3 linked regions of the Mytilus edulis genome follow. The protein of the gene in region 1 purifies or fractionates together with the protein of each later gene. This does not show direct contact. Links are inferred from orthologs where the notes say so. Each region holds a gene or a part of one and is shown on either strand. Other genes may lie near its edges.

Region 1 (7,481 bases):
GCAAAATAAAATAATAATATCCAATAGGGACTTACCGTCCCAATTTTTCGAGTGAGACCCTATTCTATGAGGATTTCTTCATAAAAAAACTATTCTAAAAACATAACAGTCCTTGTAACTTCTCAAATACATGTACATGTAACATGCAACATAGTTGAACAAAATCAGGTTGATAATTATAACTTTGTCCATGGACAGATTACATGTGGCTAACTTTCAGTAAAACCATAAATTAAACAATTCTGGAACTCAACAGACAACTGAGTCCACATCAACAAAGTTCAAGAACAAATGACTATATTTTTCATGATTAAAAAATGGCTGATAGTTACTTGTTTTAAAGATATGTCATTTTGAGAACTAAGAACATTACAAACTTCAATTCAAATGCATCTGCCTTCCCTTTAAGGAGGGAGTATGATGTCTTTAATTGTATATAAAGAGTTTTTAACTAATGGATTTGTGTCATTATCTTTGCTGGTGACTATATTTTCACTAATTTACCTGTCGACCACCTCTCCTCTTCTTTCTTTTGCTACCATTTCTAACAATGTACTGCGGAGATGGTCCCTTATCATTGGATGTCTTACAACCTTCTCTCTAAATATCATCAGTCCAAGATTGTACACATTGTCTACATTATTTTGTTGAACATACACTCTGTCCTAAACCCAAAATAAATTGATATTTATAGGAAAATTATAAAACTTTCGATGATGTCATGACAATATCTGCCATGATTTTTTTATTCATGTAAAAAGTTATTTGCAATGTCTTAAAAGTATACACCCACTGGTTATTTATCATAAAGAAAAATCCATGCTGAGCTGGTAGAATGATAATTCAAATAATCATCAAACAAGACATGACTGCTCTGCTTATCTTAAAATAGCTTACACTGATGAACTCACTGACATCATTTTGAAATTCCAATCGAAATAACACATTATCTTTTAGATAAAATTGAGAATAAAGAGTCTGAGTAAAATGTAACAAGATATTCCATGACCAGTGTGTATGATAAAAATTTAGCATATTGTCAAACAGGAAGTGACTGTGTTGCAGATCTGAAATAAGGTTACAGTCAACTTCAAAACTATGAAGCATGAACAAACAGCTAATCCATGCTTAATACACAAGTGGAGTTATTAACGATAGAGAAATGGAAAACAAGTTGTTTGCAGTCTTTCATTAAAATACACTCTGACAGTGATTGGGATATAATAATTATATATACCTACCATATACATCAGTATGTCTCTTATCATAACCATTGATGTTTGGTGGTCATTCCATGCACTGTTTAACGTTTGCAGAAAGTTATTGATCAATGCTGAAAGAACATCTTCTCTTATCTGTTAATATAGACAGATTATAATTTAATAACTTTGTTTACTTACTGTCAATGATAAATTTAATAAAAACACCATCTAACATCATCAATTTCCAAATTTTCATGAAAAAAGCCAGGGGGAATTGGATTTTAAGTTTTATACTAGCACTCATTTCACAAAATGTTATCTTTTAATTTTGGGAAAGATATCTTTTATGAACACACTGTTATGAAAACTTGCTAGAATAATGGTCCAGTATTCCAGCTTGAATAAGACATATATTTCTCCTAACCAAATATTAGTATTACTTGCCTTGTCAACTAAATGATCTGTGACAACATCACGCAAACCAGTGTATAATTTTTCTCCATGTTTATGCAATACCATGGTATAGGCATTTCTATACAACTCCTCAAAACTAAGTCCACTGTTATTTTTTTTCTGGATTTCCTGAATGGCATTTTTCAGCAATGTCCAAATATTGTTAACATATTTTTCATCCATTGTCATCTAGAAAGAATAAAGGAAATATTTAAACTTAAAATTGAATATTGATTACATAAAAAATATGTCACTTCAGGGATGCAGTAGTTAGTTAAATCTGTCATGGGACTTCCATCACCACATTACCAAAATGTAGGTACAGTAATTTCCAACACATGTTGAGCCAACGTGTGAAAAAGTTTTATAATGCACAAAATATTTTGAAAATTAAAAACTTGTGAGATGGTCACCCTCCCTCAGTGGCAGGAACATTAAAATTACGTACTTACAGAACATAAATTATTTCCATTATACTACCCTACAGAATGATGATTCTGAAAGTGCTGAAAACTTTTAATAGATCAGGATACAGACTCGCTATCAATCTGGTTATGATACATAAAGGCGTACGAGAAAGACATGATTCTAGAAATGATGTACTATCGATAAGTTCAATAACAGTATTGTGCTTAATTTTTAAACTTATCCAATTTTGGTATGAAATTTTCATTAAAAGTTAAAAATGTTTACAAGATCTAATTGATATGTCATAATAAAAATGGGTCTCAAAGTTCCCCTCAAAATTCACTAGCAAAGAGAAAGTCCAGAATATGGCAGGACTGTGGGACAGCTTGGCACACAACTGTCTTACTCATAAAATGTGTACAATTACAGTTGATGACAGTTTAATATATCTTAATTGGTTGTATTTAATTGTCGATTGAACATTCTAACTATAGGCCTACTAGAAGTCCTCATAGAGTTTCCCATGCAGCAGACGTCTTTATTTACATTCATTATGCCACTTCCGTCCGCCATTTTATTTCATGATCCAAATATTATTTTTTTCTCGAAAATAAGTGTCTACAAGGATTTGCAATAAAAAAATACGTAATTTTGGTTTAATGATATATGAGTGGGACTTTCTATGTGGTCTTATACTTACTGGAAATGCTCTGATTCGCATTTTTGTGTCTTTGCGAGGCTGCTGTCGACTCATTTTCCAAATATATTAACTATAAAATAAAGAATGGAATGGGTAACCAAATAAACTGAAATGATAAAAGCTGATTTGTGAAATTCTTAGAAGACTAAGTCAAAAGAGTTTTGAGTCTCTGAATGTGTTCCTCAGGCATTTTCGCCGTTGACTTTTAAACCATTCTCGATGAAAGCCAAACAACAGATCTTCATTTAGTCATTTATCCGCAAACAAAAATAGATCTAAACAATTATTATGATTCGTGAGTGTTGGTCGAAATCAAAGACTTTCTTTAATATTTCAACATTTAGAAATAAATTGTTTTCTTGAAAAATACGGTTTGTAGTTCAATGTAGCAACGATTTAAAAATATGCACATTGATTTGGGGTTAAGTGGGTCATCGTCAATAAAGTATTAAGACTGGTTGTCTGCTCACTGCTATTGTATCATCTAACCAGACTGGTTTCCCTATTCATCTGAAATTGCGAGCAGCAAGTTTTCTAGTCTACTTTACAATCCAATTCAATCTAAATTCTAAATTCTAACATGGTATGAGTAGAAATGTAGTTTTTTGGAACATGAAAAACTTTAAAACTAGTTCAAGCTAATGTACTGATTTTGAGAATACCTCTGTCAATCATGATTGAAAAATTATATTTAATATTATTATTTTTATTTCTTGAGAATTTCATATATCTTTTTTCCAAATATTTTCAAATATTAACTCAATAAAAAAAAAACACTTGAAGTAAATGTCTTTTTACCAAATTCAACTTATCACCGTTTGTTCTTGTTATGAGAAGCACGACAGGTGCAGCTATTGGAACAGGAAAATGCTTATCCTTACGAAATCATGATACCGATTTTACAAGATTTTGGTGAGGTTAATGTTGCACAATTTAAGTTTTGTAGCGTTATCAAATTTTCTTCTTTTTTTTTCGGTAATGGTAATGTCTTCAAGTTTTTTTTTTTGTGGTTTTGAATTGCATATCATGGTCCTATGTGCTCTTTTTATTTGTTCACGACTTAAGTTTTTTAACAAAATTTGACAACTTTTAGTACTGTAATAAAAATCGGGTAAAATATCTGTGGAATATGCTTAGTATTTTACACATACAAGTTTTTGGGTTTATTTTATTTTCGACCAACATTCTTAACAGTCCGATGATAGTGCAAACAGAACATTTTTAACATTTAATGACATATTCATTGAATGCTATGATATTTTGCTACCGTGTTTAGAGGAAATGCATAGTTCTTCATGGATAGGAAGTTCAATAATTTGATCTTGATTAATTGTTTAATAGGAGTAAAAAAAATACCCCTCCTTTGATGAAAAAGTTACAATTCATTATTTTTTTTAAAAGTGTCAATGGAATGAAAATAACTTAAAACGGAGGTATAAGCGCCAAGAGTTAAGTGATATATATGATAGAGCATTGCACAGAAACAACAAAATAAAACATTCTATAAGCTGTTACAGTAGTTCTAAGCGACCCAAAAATTCTGACACATTTAAGAAATAGTTCAGATACGTTTTCCTTTACACCGTATGACCAACTTGATCGATTTATTTCTAAAGATTAATGGCATTCCGAAGAGGGTTTTTTTCTTAACAAAACTTCTTAAAAGTCATAGTAGAAACGGACCATTTAACGAACTATTCTTGAATGGAATGATATTCTGCAACTGTGGATGGAGGAAATGTTCAACATGCAGGTCTGGACATTTCCACAATCTTAAACAATTGCAGTACTGTTCCAGGTCCCTCATCCGATCCCTTCAACTATCGTGGAATCAGTTTTGTAAGCAATTTCGCGACAGTATCTTTACGTCGAATTAAAATACACATGGCTATTGATATGATAGTAATGATAATATCAATGATGCGCAGTTTATATTTCTATCGAGTTGAGCATTGTATCAATGCGATTTACTATATAAAGAGCTATCTAAAAGACAATGTTTATTTACTTCATTGATTCATTTGATGCCATATCAAGACACAATTTATTGATGAAATTGTACAGATTGAGGCAAATTGGTTACATAACTAAAATCAATCGGTCTTATGCTGGGGGCAAATACTCAAGTCTCCTTTACCATTTCAAGTGTATCTCATGCATGTATATACCATGATTGTTTATATCGAAATTCACATGCAATGACAATTCACCTTATGAATTACAAGATACGTTATCTGTGTCATTGTTTTTGCATATGTTCGTCAATGGAATGATTTTGTTTTCAATAGTTTTTTATAGTTTGCTCTTATCATGCTGTACTGTTACATCACTATCACAGGGGATATAAGACATTTAGGTGAAGTGCAATTTCTGCATTGATGTATGTTGTATTCCGTAAAACTTTTTGTTATTTTTAATTTGGGGTAGGTTGTCTGATTTGACCGCTAACATACGACACCATTCTTTCTAACGATTGGAATAAAAACATTTGAAAACATCACGTTATTAATTTCTTGCGTCCGAATAGCTTTTCTGGATTTACCTTCATCAGGAAGGCTCAAAGCCAAACATTTGACATCCGAAGATGTATAAGTACCGAAACCGTTAAAGAGCTATATGTCAAAAGGTGGAGTTATCTGTCTGAATTCGGACTTTGTTGCCTGGATGTCTTTTGTAGTTTTTTTTCTGTTGTTGGGTTATTGTCTCATTGACGTATACCTATATAAAATAGCCATGCATTCTTTTCATAGAAAAATAAAACGCTTTTAACATCCCCAGTGACATACAGATTCTTTTCTTATTCGAAACTTACATAATTCTATTCATCGCAAGAACAACAATAAACTTAATTAAAAGTATCACAGTTATTTATTAGGTAAGAATGTAAGACAGCACATATATACATGTATTATAAAAATAACAATCTATGATAAGAAGTAATGGTTTACAAAAATAATTACTTGTAACTACTAGTTATTCAGATAAATGAACTTGTCAGTCATTGCAGAAAATAACATTAAAAGAAGTGTAAGATTTCTTTTGAATTTGAATTAAAGTTAACTGGTTTTTTTTTCTTCACTTGTACAATTGTTCATGGCTGTCAACTTTGAAAGACAGAAAAAAAAATAATGGACTTGAATTATGGTTGTCATTTTTTTTTCTTTTTTGTTGTTGTTGATTGTTTGTACACTACTGAGATTTATACGGAATATAACCATCTATTATATATGCGATACTTTGTATGGCCACGCTCAACAGTAAATATTGTGTTTGAAAATTGTGAATTTTGGAACTGAAAATGACAGTGTAAAATCCGGCGTATTATTGCTTCTTCACTTCCTAAAATCATATTCTGATGAAACATTGTTCACGTTAAAACCAAAGCACACCCACAAATTAATTATATACCAGTCAATACAATTTTACTGCGCAAAAAACATGTTTGCCATATATATAAAAGAAGAATGTCATTACACGGTTTTGGAATATAACAATGATTTGATCGAGGATCAGAAACCGGTAGGAATTACAAGGCTTATCGAGCATTTGTATTCCGTTTCGTACCCTACATGACTGGCACACTAACTACACAGGAACGTTAAGAAAAGGTCTGTGAAATAACAATATGATAACAATGTAACAGGACGGAATAAATATTAAATACTAACCTATCAATATAACAATATGCATTGAATAATATTAAAAATACAATTAATTATAAAAACACAATTATTATTAACAACTTTTTAAATGATTGAGCGCAAATCAGTGATTAAGATTAGTAAGCAGCAGATTTGAAGAAATTCGTTGAAAAATATTACGTGAATTTTAAGTTTTTCCACAATTATTTCAGTCACAACAGGAAATATTTGGTGTTACAAGTGAAAAATGATTCCAGATTCATCGGATCAAGTTGCGCAAAATTGAAATCAGTAGTGGTAAAATGGAAAATTAATCAATTACCTCTTACAAATATGTTTATATTTTTACTTGATTGAAATAAACGCAGAAGTCAGAAGTATAAACTGATGTAATGGAGAGGGGGAGAATTCAATATTGGAATTGCTTTGTGATGGAAAGCCACATACATAACCTTGTCATTAATATTCAAAAAATCATAAAAAATATATGTCTATAGCAAAGTAGCACTTTTGATACGAAGACCAAACAACATAGCATTTATAAAAGCAGTCTCTACAAAACATTCACTTCAATGTATCTACATGTATACAATGTTCACAATATACAATCTGCCCGCTTTAAACCCGAGACAGTTATCATTGGTTAACATTACACCTTTTTTAGGTTTTTGTCATCAACCAAAATAAAAACTACAAACAAAATGTCTGCTGGTTGAATGGATTTGAATGCATTCTTTGCATGATAATAGCTTGTTTCAATATCAACATTTCTGTTTTGTTGTTGCCTACTACACTTAAGGATGCTTCATCCTCTAATTTAGATATGCTGCAGGAAGTGTCACTTGTCAACTATTGTAACGCGTGACTTTGCTGTCACACTGAGAATGCAAATAAATCAAAATGAGATCGCCTAAAGTAAGGGGTAATTTAAATCGGACTAGCCCCCTTTTTAAAAGATCCACACTGTCTACGTTTAACTCAGATAAAATAATTATGCTCGAATAAAAACGCATCAAATATACCTGGCTTATTTTTGATCATCAGACGGACGTCACATCTAAATAAGACTCGTCAGTG
Region 2 (7,048 bases), on another chromosome or scaffold:
AAGCAAAATTTTAATGCACTTTTGATTAGAAAATATAATAATATTTCTGATTTCCGAAATATATTAATAATGTTACGTTAACTTTTTTTTATAAAACAAATATCAATATTAATTAGTTGATAATGCTTTTGTCTCATTGCCAGATATAGCAAAATGTGCCCTTTTTTCCCCAAAATTTACAGCTTGCTGTGCTGTGTATTCTGTCAAATTGTTTTGTTGTTGTTTGTTTTTTTTTCTTCAAATATTCTCTTAAGTTTTAGAATAAATTTAGAAATAATGCCAGTAATTTGAAAAATATATATATATAAAGTTTATATTATAAACTCATTTACACTCGGCAATCTACATGCACTTGTTGATGTTGATATATTCTCACCAGTCTTTGCATTTTAAATGGGGATTTCAGATGACATTAATACAACATTATCTATACACTACTAAAGACTGCTTACGCCCAACATAAGATTGACCTTAAACAACTACTTTCTTCATTGATAACAAAACTGCTGTTCCATGTACATAAAACCTGGAAAATTCAGCCTCAACAGCAAATTTAACTCCGTATACGGATTTAATTTTTACAGGTATCCCTCTTTTCGCCCCTTTTCTATTTTTGATATTTTAATCAAAAATTTAAAAAATTAAACTTTCAAAAAGTGAAATAATCAAAATTGCACGTTAGATTTAATATTTTAAAAGTTTGATAAAGTTCCTAAACTATCAAATTTATAAATGATATTTAGAATTTTAATATTTTAATAATTTGGTTAAAATTTCAAAATTTCAAAACTTTTTAACACATGTGAATTTGAAATTTTGATGTTTTAAAACTTTGATCAAAATTTCAAAAATCTAAAGTTTCAAAACTTTTTAAAACTTTGAATTGAAGTGTTACACGGACCTTGAAACATTAACATCCAACTTATCGTTCTTGTTTAGTAAAATCTGAACACATTCATATCATATAAACGTATACCATAAACATTATTTCCAGCCTTCATTTCTATGTAATAGTTGTCGCTGTACATTAATTAAGCCCCCACCTATCGATTTGTAGGTGTCGGCAATTTTCAATTTTCAAAAGTTTATATCAGCGATAAATGGTAATCTTTTTAGGAATCCGATATATAAATATTGTCACCAAAGGGACACCAAGGGGACACTTTTTTTACTTGGATACTTCCACGAGGGGCTTCAATTATGGTACATATAATATTCTGACTCATCAATTTGACGGGGGAAAAAATCTGTGCAAGCAGAGGACAACAAAAAATATTCTGAATCCAGATTTTCCCCATGCCTTATAGTGTTTTGAACCAAATAATATGATTAATAGCGATGAAAAACTTAATAAAATTGTTAGTGCTTGGCACGAATTTTTTTCTCACTTCGACAAAACAACTATATTCTCATTTTTAAAGTTAAGTACATATGATTGCTCCCTTAGACAACGTAACGTCGTTTGGACTGATGCTTGTAAAAGGTATATTCATTTATCATATACGTATCTCTATTAGGGGCCCTAAATAAACCACTGTGTTTAAATAGCAAATAAAAGGGAAAGGGATTTTTGTATTAAGGGATATCATTGTTCCGTATTCGTTATTTGTGCATTTTTAAGTTATCGTACGACAATCAACTATGACCAAAGTGAAAGAGCACAGGTACGTCAAGTCAGAATGCCACGCTGTCTGCTGCATGATGGAATTTCCATTCTTAGCCATACACCAATGTTGCTCTCGAAAAACCAGTACAATGTAAAACGCTGAATTTAAGTAAAGCATTCACCTACGGAACGCTGAAAACTGAATATTTGAAAGTGAAGTAAATATAAGAACCGAAACAACTGAAGAGGTGTTTGGCCAAAGTGAATTTGAACATATAAAGGGCTACTTTGTCCGAGGGAGTTGAATCCTAAGTTTCTTTGTAATTTGTATGTAAACAGCAAATTATCGATTTTTGGTTGCTAGTGACAAATATTTCATGAATGTTCAGGGACAAATAAGCAATAAATACAACAGGGGGAGGGGGATTGTGCTTGTTATTGATCATATGATGAAGATATAATCTTTCAATTAGTTGAATTGAGGTCTGGAGCTGGCATATATGTCAGTAACTGCTAGCTTTAATATAGTAGTTCTTTGTTAATTTATTATCATTGTCATTTTTATTAGTTTCTTTTGTTTCCAATTCTGACATAGGACTTGTATTTCTTTCAAAATGCGTTTTACTTTGCGTATTGCTGTGTGTTTGTTTATTCTACATTGGCTACAGGTACCGTATATAGGGGGAGGGTTGTGATCTCATGAAACATGTTTAACCCCGCCGCATGTGTCCCAATTCAGGAGCCTCTGTCCTTTTAAGTCTTGTATGATTGTAACTTTAGGTCATTGCTATATTTCGGAGTTTAGTATGACGTCTATTATCACTCAACCATCATTGAACCAGTACACTTTTTTGTCTTGGGACCAGCTGAAGCACGCCTAGCACAACGTTCATTGAGACACCATAAATTAAGTATTTCTTCCGTATTATTACTTGGAACTGAAATGCTTTATCAATCACAAAAGACAATATATTATCGGCATGCAATCGATAAAAAACAAAAACAAAACGTTAAAGTTGCATGCGACCGAAGCGCTTTTTCCGAATCTACCTTCATCAGGAACGTCAAAAAGGCGAATAATACTATTTGGCCTACTGCGAGTTGGTAAGTTTTCACCTTTACTTCTAAATGTTGGGCACTGGGGACACCAAATAGCCCTGAATTATATATCTCAAACGATAACCTTATATAAGAGATTTAAATCAACTTATTTGATGCCGGTTTAAATAGGTTTAAATATTGTTTAATAGATGAACAACCTTAAAATTTCAGGATACTGTTATCCCATGTGATGTCTAATATGTTTTGACTTCTTTTTATTATTCATTTTGTAATTAAAAATGATTCGATATATTTCGTGCTATTTATTCCTAACTAAGAATGATTATAATCAGAGCCGTGTTTACAGGTACACCTCTTTTCGCCCCTTTTCTATTTTGATATCTTAATAAAAAATAAAAAAAAAAAACTTTCACAAAAAGGGAAATAATCAAAATTGCACGTTAGGTTTAGTATTTTTAAAGTTTGATCAAATCTCTAAACTATATCAAACTTATTAACGATATTTAGAATTTTAATATTTTAATTATTTGATTAAAATTTCAAAATTTCAAAACTTTTACACAATTTGGAATTTTGATATTTAAAAAAAAAACTTTAATCAAAATTCCAAAAATTTAAAATTTGAAAACTTTTTAAAACTTTGAATTGATACGTGATACACGGACCCCAGAGACATATGTGTATACATGTCTCTGCGTGAGAGAACCCAAATTACACCTATTTTGACAGTTTTTTCCTCTACGATTTTTTATGATCCTGACAAAAGTTTCCATTCTGTGTTTATTTTGAAGATGTATCCTTATTTACTATAAAGTTTAATACACAAATTTAATTTTGAATATATGCATGATATATGATTAAGTCATAGAAAAATGGATTTAAACTGACCCCCAGGATTACGCAATGAGGAGTACCCAAATTGCATATATCTATGCTTCAATTCACATCCTTAAAAATTGAAAAAAAAGATGTTTTGTTCCATTTGTTCAAATAGCTAAAACAACTTGACATTCGTCCATGCTTCAGTACTATTGATTTTTCTCATTTTTAAAAGATGGGTTCACGGTGCAATTTTGGTACTGTGACCAGGTGACGTTTATACTCATTCTAGGACTGCCTAACCGTTATGTCTCTGTCAGTTAGGCGAGTTGAAATGCCTAAATTTATCAAGATTTTATCCTTTTTCATAAATGGGTCAAGTTGCTATGACTGATTTGAATGAGATTTTATCTTTTTTCATATTAAGGGCGAGTTTTTAACAAGAGTGGGGCAAGTTAGTTGAAAGTGGGGCGAGTTGGTGGATAGTGTCGCGATTTGGTTGTGGGACGAGTTTTCCTGATTCCGCTGTGTAAAGGCAGGTAAAGCAAGCACCAGTTTAACAATGATGCACGCGAATTTGACGAGATTTTATTATAATGAAAATATGGAAACTGTTTCATTCTGTTCGTGTCAAAAATAGCACCAAACAAACCTAGTACAAGCTAAAAAAAATCAAACAATAGTACTTATTGGGGTTCATTGGGGTTGCATATCGATGAAATAATTAATTGATGGACCATGGCCGAAAATGGGCCTCAACCTTGCAGCACCACTGTACCACAAAATTCTGGATCTGGCCAAGGCAGAATTAGCGAATGGGTGAAGTTAAACGTTGGCGGAACAACTTTTATGTCAACGAGAACGACATTGTGTAGAGACCCTAAGTCATTCCTGTATAGACTTGTACAGGAGGAACCAGATTTAAATACGGACAAGGTTATTTCATTGAAAAGAGTGGGGGGGGGGGGGGGGGGGGACTTCTAAATAAACTATTTCCACAGTAGACGGTTCTAAATAATCAAGAATTTTAAATTTATTTATTCCAAGTTAGTGCATTTGAATCCATGACATCTCTGCCAAAAAAAATTTACCCCCTGACAAACTTTGTCTTTGAATTTATTTCTATCAACCAGGGTTCTCACTAAGGCGAGTCCACGAGTTCAGGACTCATGAAAATCTGTCTGGACTCACCATTTTCAAAACTGGTGAGTCCAAAGATGCATCAAAATTGAAATATTTTATAATAATCAGCATCGTTGATTGTGGCCATTATCAGGCAGAAGCAGAAGAAGCACATATCATCATTTTATAGCACACAATAGAATAAAAGAAATCTGAGTTTAATGTCATGTCATTGCTATTTTATGTCATGGAGCCTTTATAAAATGATAAATCATATTGCAAAAAAATATCTTCTTACTGTTGGGACTCACCATGGACAAAAATGACGAGTCCCTGGACTCGCCTTCAAAAATACTTAGTGAGAACTCTGATCAACTAAACATTAACTAAAAATGGTACAGAGGCATGTGGCCCGTTTTGTATGTAACAACTACCACAAAACCAGTAGTGTAACATCCATGTTAAATGATCTCCAATCATGCCAATGGCCCTCACTTGTGCGCTGCCTCAAAACTAGACTGATTATTCTACAATAATGGAATAAGAAAAGTACATACCAAATCATTTCGGCAAATATCCATCTCTAAGACAGATACAAATGGTCATTTTTTCCACAAACATTAAATCAATGGAACATGTTACCACAATTTGTTGTAGCATATCAAACATTTAGAGATTATTTCACACCAACTGTTCTCCACAACATAGATTAAATTTATATAAATGTATGTACACCAATGTAATTATTTTTTAATCAATTGTTGTCTTTCTTTTATGTAAATATCACCATTCAAAATATTCAAGTATTCTACAAATTTAAAAATAAATTTTTGATCAATTATAATTTTAATGCACATGCAACAGTTCGTAAACTTCAATATAAATGAAACTGAAACTGTATATCAGAAAAAGAAGAACTTGCTCTCCTTAAGTTATCGAGATGGCCCCTAAAATAAAATGTGTATTAGTCCAGTAAAAATAGACATCATACTGAACTTCTTAACATGTTTATAAATGAACTAAAATTAAGAAAACATACAAGATTAACAAAGGCCAGGGGCTCCTGACTAGGGATAATAAATGGTGCAATAATGTGGCAGTGTTAATCATGTTTTGACAACATCAACCCTCCCTCTATACCTCTAGCCAATGAAGAATAAAGAAACACACAAAAATTCACACAGCTTAAGTCTCTTGAGATATTCCAGTCTCAAGTGACCAAAATCTCAAACTAAATCAGCAAAACAATTGTTCTTAACCTGTTATTTAATCATGCGCAACTTGCCAAAATATTCATCAATGTGGGCAGTATTTGAAAGAAGTAGAAGAAGAAGAATGTAAAACCAGCATTGAATAGTTAGCAGACAAATGAGTAACTACCCTTCAAATGAGAGAGATATTTGTTTGGGTTAATATCAATAATTATGAATCTGCATTTGACACATGGCATATATTTATGAAAAATGCAGCACTTATAACACATTGAGGATATAAGTCTAATCGGTAATAGTATATGTCTCAAATAAGACAAAGTTAATTGAAATTAACTTAGTTCATATTTTGTAGGATGAAAATGGAGCCTTTTTGATAGACAGAGATCCCACATACTTTGGACCTGTTTTAAATTATTTACGACATGGAAAGTTGGTGATAAACAAAGACTTAGCAGAAGAGGGTTAGTTAGTAAGCCTTTGAATGTTTCCTGTTTACAAATTTTTAAGTTTATTTGGATTCAATGTCATGACAGAATAAAGGCATAATATAACAAGCATTGATGTGTTATGACTCGCACTTGTACATTTTTTGCTAGATTTTTTTATAAAACTTAATTTATTGGTAATGATTGGTTAACATCAACAATCACTCACACATCAGTGTCTCTTGACAAGTTTGAAAACCAGTGCCCATAAATTATTTTTAAAAGAGTTATGCCCCACGGAAATATTAATTATATTGAAAATTGCATTGCATTTGCTCTCAAGCCTTCATTAATTTCTTTAAGATATTTAAAAAAATTAATGAACAAAAAAAAAGTTACTTATACATGTAGTTATATATCAGTAATGTCTTGGACAAGTTAGACAATCAGCATTAACCCTTTTTAAGCTCGCCCGGCCTAAAAGGCCAAATGAGCTTTTCTTCATCACTTGGCGTCGTCATCCCTCATTGTTGTTTTTAAATTTTTATAAGACCGCGAATATTTTGTCCATTTGTATAATGCTATGATGTCATAGTCAGCTTTGTCCAAAGACGCATTTCTTGACAATGTCTTAAGTTTGAGGGAATGGATCTCTATGAAATTTTTGTCAGAAGGTTCAATAGTTGAATACCACTAAAAGGAAGGTTGGGATTGATTTTGGGTGATATGGTACCACCCGTTTCAGAATTAAGGGCCAAAAAGGAGCTAAAACAATCATTTTCTAGTTTCTGTACAATAAC
Region 3 (7,484 bases), on another chromosome or scaffold:
TAATGAATCCACACTATACATTGCTATATAAATTTAGCTTATAGTCCTTTCTGAACGAATTTAACATTCAGGAAAAGGTATAATTCTTTTTTACCACATTTCATTACAATTTCATTTTATGTTTAGTGATGCCTCGTAAGTTTTCAACTTACCTTCTCAGCTGGTTCAGAACCTCAAATGCTTTCTGTGTATGCTGCTTATGTTTAAATGCAGGACGCTCTCTACCTTGCAACATCTTCGGACGTACATCCATGGTTGCCATTATGTAACCATAAAATGGTCCAGCCTTAAACTACGAAATTAGCTAGAAAGGATAAGTTCAAATATTATATGTAAATAAATTTATTAAGCTTTTGCAAGCTAATAATAATATTGTAAAGGTCATGTCTTTTCTTTCTTGTGAACATCATAAGGTAAAGATATTATTTCGATTTCCCTGTTTACTTTTACTAGGCTTAGACATGACCATGATGACCTAAATAAAACATGACACAAAATCCTTACACTTGTATGCACTTCATGAAACCAAACTCATAGGAGCTGAACTTTTATTGTCAAAGTGAACAGTAAGAAACTTTAGGGGGGGAAGAAAGAGCTGAAAACAAAATATATAAATGAGAAAAGAAGGATTGTGTTCATTTTCAGGTTTTTTTCTCAAAAACTGCAGAATCAATCAATTGTCATGACTTATTACTCATCAAAGCTTGGAAAGGTACATGTATACGCACAAAAAATGATTGTGAAGTAAACTACATTATTATATCAATTAGTCTCTTTCTCTTTCAAACATTTCTTTTCATATTACCAAATTTGATTTTTGATTTAATAATATCTGTAAGAGTGATTTCCCCAAGGTTTGATATTGCTGTACATTTCTTGTTTGTCTATGAATCTTGAAATTACCAGTGCTTTACCAGCAGTAATTATAAAAGTATGTTTTTATATCACATTGAAAAGGCTGAACATGTTGAAGTGACATTAGTAAGGGTTTAAAGGATGTTTTATGCTACAAATTCAAACCTTAGTAACCATTTTTTGTTTCCTATACACAACAAAATAATTTGAGAACATTAATATCTTTTCTTCAAACTGCACATATATTTCTAGGTTTTATAACATGTGAGAATCAGATATCACTTGATATCAACTAAGTTGATCAATTTCATTACAATAATAAACGAGCCTTTGGCATGATCTTTATCATGTTTATTATGAGTATATTATTTACTATTTAAATTTTGTGAAAGTGGGAATGCAATCGACGCCATTTTTTATTTACCAGTTTGCATTCTGTGATGAAATGAAGGCAATTTGAGATCTCACAAACATGTTTAACCCCGCCGCATTTTTGCGCCTGTCCCAAGTCAGGAGCCTCTGGCCTTTGTTAGTCTTGTATTATTTTAATTTTAGTTTCTTGTGTACAATTTGGAAATTAGTATGGCGTTCATTATCACTGGACTAGTATATATTTGTTTAGGGGCCAGCTGAAGGACGCCTCCGGGTGCGGGAATATCTCGCTACATTGAAGACCTGTTGGTGACCCTCTGCTGTCGTTTTTTATTTTGGCGGGTTGTTGTCTCTTTGACACATTCCCCATTTCCATTCTCAATTTTAATTATAATGCATTTGAAGCGATAGATTACAAGTTCATGAAAATACGGATTTTTTGTGTTATTAAAATTTACTGTTACAAAATGATAGAAATTATCATAAATTAAGGAATGTATCTCCATCATGCAAAGCTCTGATTCCTTTCACGGATTTGGCTATACTTTTTGGACCTTTTGGATTATAGCTCCTCATCTTTTATATAAGCTTTGGATTTCAAATATTTTGGCCACGAGCATCACTGAAGAGACATGTATTGTCGAAATGCGCATCTGGTGCAGGAATATTGGTACCGTTAATTTTATTCCATACACTAGCATCACTAGTACTGCCAAACTCAGTTTGAATGACATTTTATTGATATTATCTGAAATTATTAGTATAATAGCGAGTATGTTTAAACACATGTCTGTTTCTGTATTGTGTTTTTATAAATGATGACTTGATAATTTGATCAGCTACAATAGACCACTTTCGAGTTCATCCTTCACCGGAAAAAACTCATCAATTATATGCGCCTTTAAGATGTCATTTACCAGATAGAGGGGGTCGCCTGTATCCATGCACTATTTACGTTAATCAAGCATCTTAGTGATCGTCATTGTGCAGGATTAACTAGAAATAATGGTTGTTCTGTAGGTACTTAATGACAATTCCCTAATGGCAGAAGTGCTGATTTTCAATTTTGAGAATTCAATTTGCCGAATAATTTGTACAATATAGAATTATAGTTTTCCAACCACTCGCTCAACATTGGAATGGATATGACTACGCCCCAAAACACACAAATGACGTTCACTAAAACCAGAGTTTTTGACGGAAATGCATCGAACTCGAAAGTTGTCTATTAGGTAGTGTCAAGTCCTGTCAATTTATATGTTCCTGCCTTAACTGGCTTAAGTCCAAATAATTATGATGTCTTGAATGGCTATTTTAATTTTTTATGTGACACCTTTCTACGATGTCCTAGCAAGGCGTCACAGAGTAAAATTAAATAGCCTTTCAAGACATCATAAGTATATAGACTAGAATTATTCTACCCATAATCTAGTCCAAATAATTATGACGTCTTGAAAGGCAATTATAATTTTTTTCTTTGACGCCTTACTCGTCAAAGAAAAAAATTATAATAGCCTTTCAAGACGTCATAATTATTTGGACTACCCATAATCATAACACAAACACTAACAGTAACAGACAGACAGACAGTAGCATGTCTGTTGTGTAGCTTAACAGCATTTCAAAATGTTAATTTGTTTGACAATGTAATGCATAAGTACCATGTTTATTTTATGGAGTATGTTTTTATGTTAATTTTCAGAAGAAGTCTGCAAATATGACTTTTTTCCAACTGTCATCTGTGTATTGACATTTTCTGCCTGGAACCGGAAAAGGAAGTGGTTCCGTAAATTAGCAGGTGCGCAAACTCGTAGCTGGTCGCCTACGACTTATTTACATATGGCGGCCAAGTGTGAACTTTCTCTTTCGGCAAAAATATTGAATTAATGAAATAAGGTTTATGTTGAAAATGGGAAGCTAAAAAACACCATGTCCGTTTTACAGGTAATTATCCTTATTTCCTCGCATTTGTGTACCTAATTGCATATTTAAATGGATTTATTTGGTGGTTTTAATTGATTTTTGATTGAAAATAAAAGGATGTGACATGTGAGGACTTGAAATTGAACCGAGTAGGTGATTTAACGGTAAATTATTGTACAAGTGAAGGATATCTAAATCATCTATTTGTATAAGAGAAATATCAAACAATAAATTAAATGAAAGAAAAATAAGTTAACATTATAATAATATTTATTATTTTATTAAATAGAATGAAAATGTTTATTAATGACAAATAAGATTGGTTTAAAATATGCTATTCCAGTTATATTTAAACAGAATTAAAATATGTTCTATATACAATTGATAACTGAAACTATAATACAATTTTATTCTTATAATATTTAGTCTATAATTTAATTACCAATGTCATGAATGTGTAATTAGGTGATCAGTATTTATCATGTTTACTTTGTTAGTGGTATTGATTGCAGTAATTAAATTAAACTTTGTCAAGTCCAGAATACTTATTTGACACACTGAAAGGGTAATTTTATTTGACATGTTGAAAGTGGTTCATCTAGATTAGTACATGTAGAATGATTAGTTTTTCTAAATGTTTAAGAATATGTAAATGAAGTTTGGGTTAGGAGCCAGGTTAAAGATAAAAAGTGTGATACCATGTAAACTGTAATTGTGTTGAGCTGTTAATGTGAATTTATCTGTGAGAAAACTAATAATTTAAGTTGAAAGATATTTGTATAAAAAGGATTATCAGTTTAGTTTCATATTCAGGAAGAGTAATAGATAACTAATTGTAAACAAGAAGAATGAGCAAGCGAAAGGTAACATAATACTCAAACAACATCTATTTAGACCCAGTTCTTTTATTGCATGATCTGTTGTACATAAAGATCAGTGAACCTATCTCAGATTAAAATCGTCTGTATTAGACTACACATTTCATATGCACAACCTTTTAAACTGCATGAATAAATGTGTTTGATACTAACTTGAATGTGTTTTGTTCACATATGTTGTGGGAAAAACCTATCACTGTTATATAATTGTTCTTTTTATCAATATTGGCATGGTGCATGTAGGTTCTTTGCCAGTTTAATTGAACTTTGAATTGTTGTCAACATTTTAATGTTTTTAAAAGTACAATTTTTCTCATAGTTTTTTTTTGCATTATATTTTTAGTCATGTTAGTTTGAAAAAAAGATGTACATGTGATTAGCTGCATATTTATAATTTTAACTGTATGTAGTGTTGTTTTAGGTTTCATCCATTTTCAACTGTCATCGAGTTAAAAATACAAATACTCACTGAAAGCACTATAAAATGGTATCACAAATATTTAAGATAATTAAGAATATGAAAAGATTTCAAATATAATGAACATATATACATGACATATGCGAAATGTAATGAAGGTCACATATTTTTTGCAAAAACAGTAAATTTTTATGTTATTGATGAATTTTATTGTAATTTCCATATTATGAAGAACAATAGTCATGATAGTCAAAGTACTCAATATTTGCTTCGTTTAATTCGATACTTGGTGATGGTACCATCAAAATTATACTCTGTATGTGTAACATCATATTTCTAGATCTTTGTCTTGTGTTTATTATTCATGTGTATGTTAATATAAAAGCATTTATAAATCTGGTGTTGGTTGATTCTTTTCCTCATTCTAACAAAAAAATTCTGGAAAGTATTTATCAATGACAAAAATGTATAGATATATAGATTCTACCACTGCATCGAGTGTAATACGATATGTATCCACTGGAGACAGTTAAATTTTCAAATTTAAAACGTGAGGCTTGCCCGAGCGTTTTAAATATTTAAAATTTAACTGTTGAGAGTGGATAAATATCGTATTTCACAAGATTTGGTGGTGGAATCTGTTTCTCTAATGATTTTCTAACATTATGCAGGCAAACTTATTCTTTCTTTTTGAATGATCTGCAAAAAGATGTGTTCTTTCTATGTGATGTCATCAGGCATTGTTGCCTTTTTTCATGCCGTCACAATAGGAATTTCAGAGGAGAGCAAGAAAATTCAACGTCATAATCGGATTTTAACCAATGAAGTACTGAGATCAAACGAACCACACATTGATTACATTTTTTTTATACAATGGGTGCAGAAAGGGATAAATTGACGAAGAATTAGAGAAATATATTATATATATACAATGTATCATGTATATATATATGTCGAATATAATCAAAAATAAATTTAGAACATGCATGCATGAGATTCAGGATCTTGAAAGTTATAAAAAAGAACCTTTCTTACTTATAAAATGATTGATATATATGTATAAATAGTGCAACAAAAAAGATTTAAATTATTTGAACAAGGATGAATAAATCACATACATGTATTTTATGTCATGAACATTATTACGTAACACACATTGAAACAGGAATGCAAATGTAAATGTGTATATGAACTGTACTTAAAACATTTAACAAGTAGAAAGAAACTGCCTGATAAAAAAAAATAAGAATGTATAACTTACAAAAATGACAAATGAACTAAGAAATTTAAGATGAAGACTAATTAATAACTGTTATATACGATTATTGCACTAGATTTGTGCATCTAATGAAAGTGATATGTTTACTGTTCATATCACAAATTTTATTTCAGTGAATAGGTCTCTTCATATGAACATGATGAAATATTGTTTTGTGCACTTTGTACAAAAATACACATATCACTATACAAGTGACATGCATTTTTTATAGCTAATTGTAACTAACATTTTGTTTGATAGTTAGCAGATATATGTACATTATGTACATGTAAATTTATGATCAAAACAAAAATTTGTGAATGTAAACAAGTCATTTGTATTGTAGGTTTATTTGAATTGGGCTAACTCAGTTTTAGCTGATATAGATAAAGAAGTAGAAGGGATATCCAGTATACAGGAAGGACAAGTGCTATGTCAGCTAATAGATCTTCTCTGTCCAGAAGCATGTCTTCTGCAGAAACTACAGGTATTGATTCAACAATTTTTGTTTTCCTTTTAGATTTGACGCTTTATATATATGTTGAAAATGTCAAATAGTCTTGTATATTTGAATAATGCTTAGAATTGTAAAAAAAATCATCAGAAAAGAGTCTTTAAAAGCCATAAAAATTAAAGAAATTCTATGAAAACTTATTTCCTGGCTAATAAATCAAAAAGTTGTTTGTGAATAAAAATAGATATTTATTGAATTGGCAGCAAGACTTGCATGACTTAATAAGAAAATTTAATTTACATGTAGATCTAATTCTGGGAATGTCACTTAAATGCTACTGATTCATGTGAAAGTGATCTCTTCTGACAAATCTGCTAAGTATAGCCCATTATTAGCTCTTTACCTGGAAACATATTATTTAATCAATAGAGGCTTAGTATGTCGGTACAATTTATAGATTTAATGCATGAAGAAATTGCAATAAAATCACTATCTGCTTCATTATTTTGATTAAGAGAAAATTAACAATTAACATGATTAATAGACCTATAGATGTCATGGTCAGCTGAAATATTGATCATGATATTTTATCACATATACTGTAAGTTTGATACTAAAATGGCTTGACACATACTATTTGTTAACAACTTCATGTAGAGGTACACACATGCATAGAGAATAAGTCCAGGACCAATATTTATCAACATTTAGTCCAAAAATTTAACCAAAAAAGAGTGCAAATTCATATATCAGGATTCAAAGCTTATCAGAACATTAAACACTTTATACTAGTAGATAATTTTTGCTTCTATGAAGTTCAGATGGAATACACAAATGAATACTATTTTAATGTTTACATGGTTATATTACAGGCTTCAGGGACTTCCCAGTTACCAGAAATGTACATACAGACAGCCTTAGACCACATGAGGAAGTATGGCATCAAACTGAACTTCTCAAGCCAGGGTAAGAGTAGTTTTATAGAGGGAGGTCTGGGGGGTTGGAACACCCTTTTTTTTGGACGATCAATGCATTTGAATGGGGTCATATGGTTGGACCCCCCTTTTTTTAAATGGCTGGATCCACTACCTTTTATATAGGCATTTCTAGCATATTTTATAAAGTTCTGTCAACCTGTTTAGCCCGAACTGTTCTCAGTTAATGAGGAAAGGCAGAATTGTGGGTACAGAAATTAATTTATTGGGAACCCAGCTGGTTGTCCAATGGCCCAAATAAGTCCTAAAAATAGACAGATTGAATTAAATTTATTTCAGACTTCATAGAGAACAAGAAATTGAACATAATAAATCGTCTAAATTTGAATTT

What was found.
Region 2: the proteins of cullin-3-A-like (region 1) and BTB/POZ domain-containing protein KCTD5-like purify together in Drosophila melanogaster (affinity purification with western blotting; 4 studies listed by BioGRID, with this or other methods). This does not show direct contact. The link is inferred for Mytilus edulis from reciprocal best matches to the Drosophila melanogaster genes Cul3 and inc.
Region 3: the proteins of cullin-3-A-like (region 1) and kelch-like protein 2 purify together in Drosophila melanogaster (affinity purification with western blotting; 3 studies listed by BioGRID). This does not show direct contact. The link is inferred for Mytilus edulis from reciprocal best matches to the Drosophila melanogaster genes Cul3 and kel.

Annotation. Positions count from the first base shown.
Region 1 is NC_092346.1:79,309,554-79,317,034, reverse strand, and holds the start of cullin-3-A-like, read right to left. Parts: upstream 3,029-7,481; 5' UTR 2,818-3,028; coding exon 2,764-2,817; intron 1,845-2,763; coding exon 1,647-1,844; intron 1,356-1,646; coding exon 1,242-1,355; intron 666-1,241; coding exon 505-665; intron 1-504.
Region 2 is NC_092352.1:64,454,251-64,461,298, reverse strand, and holds the start of BTB/POZ domain-containing protein KCTD5-like, read left to right. Parts: upstream 1-4,024; 5' UTR 4,025-4,225; coding exon 4,226-4,423; intron 4,424-6,175; coding exon 6,176-6,284; intron 6,285-7,048.
Region 3 is NC_092352.1:43,244,653-43,252,136, reverse strand, and holds the start of kelch-like protein 2, read right to left. Parts: upstream 3,008-7,484; 5' UTR 2,889-3,007; intron 305-2,888; 5' UTR 263-304; coding exon 153-262; intron 1-152. Other genes in the region: interaptin-like, read left to right, coding at 3,157-3,171, 6,051-6,191, 7,031-7,124. UniProt on the Drosophila melanogaster protein: Component of ring canals that regulates the flow of cytoplasm between cells. May be involved in the regulation of cytoplasm flow from nurse cells to the oocyte during oogenesis. Binds actin.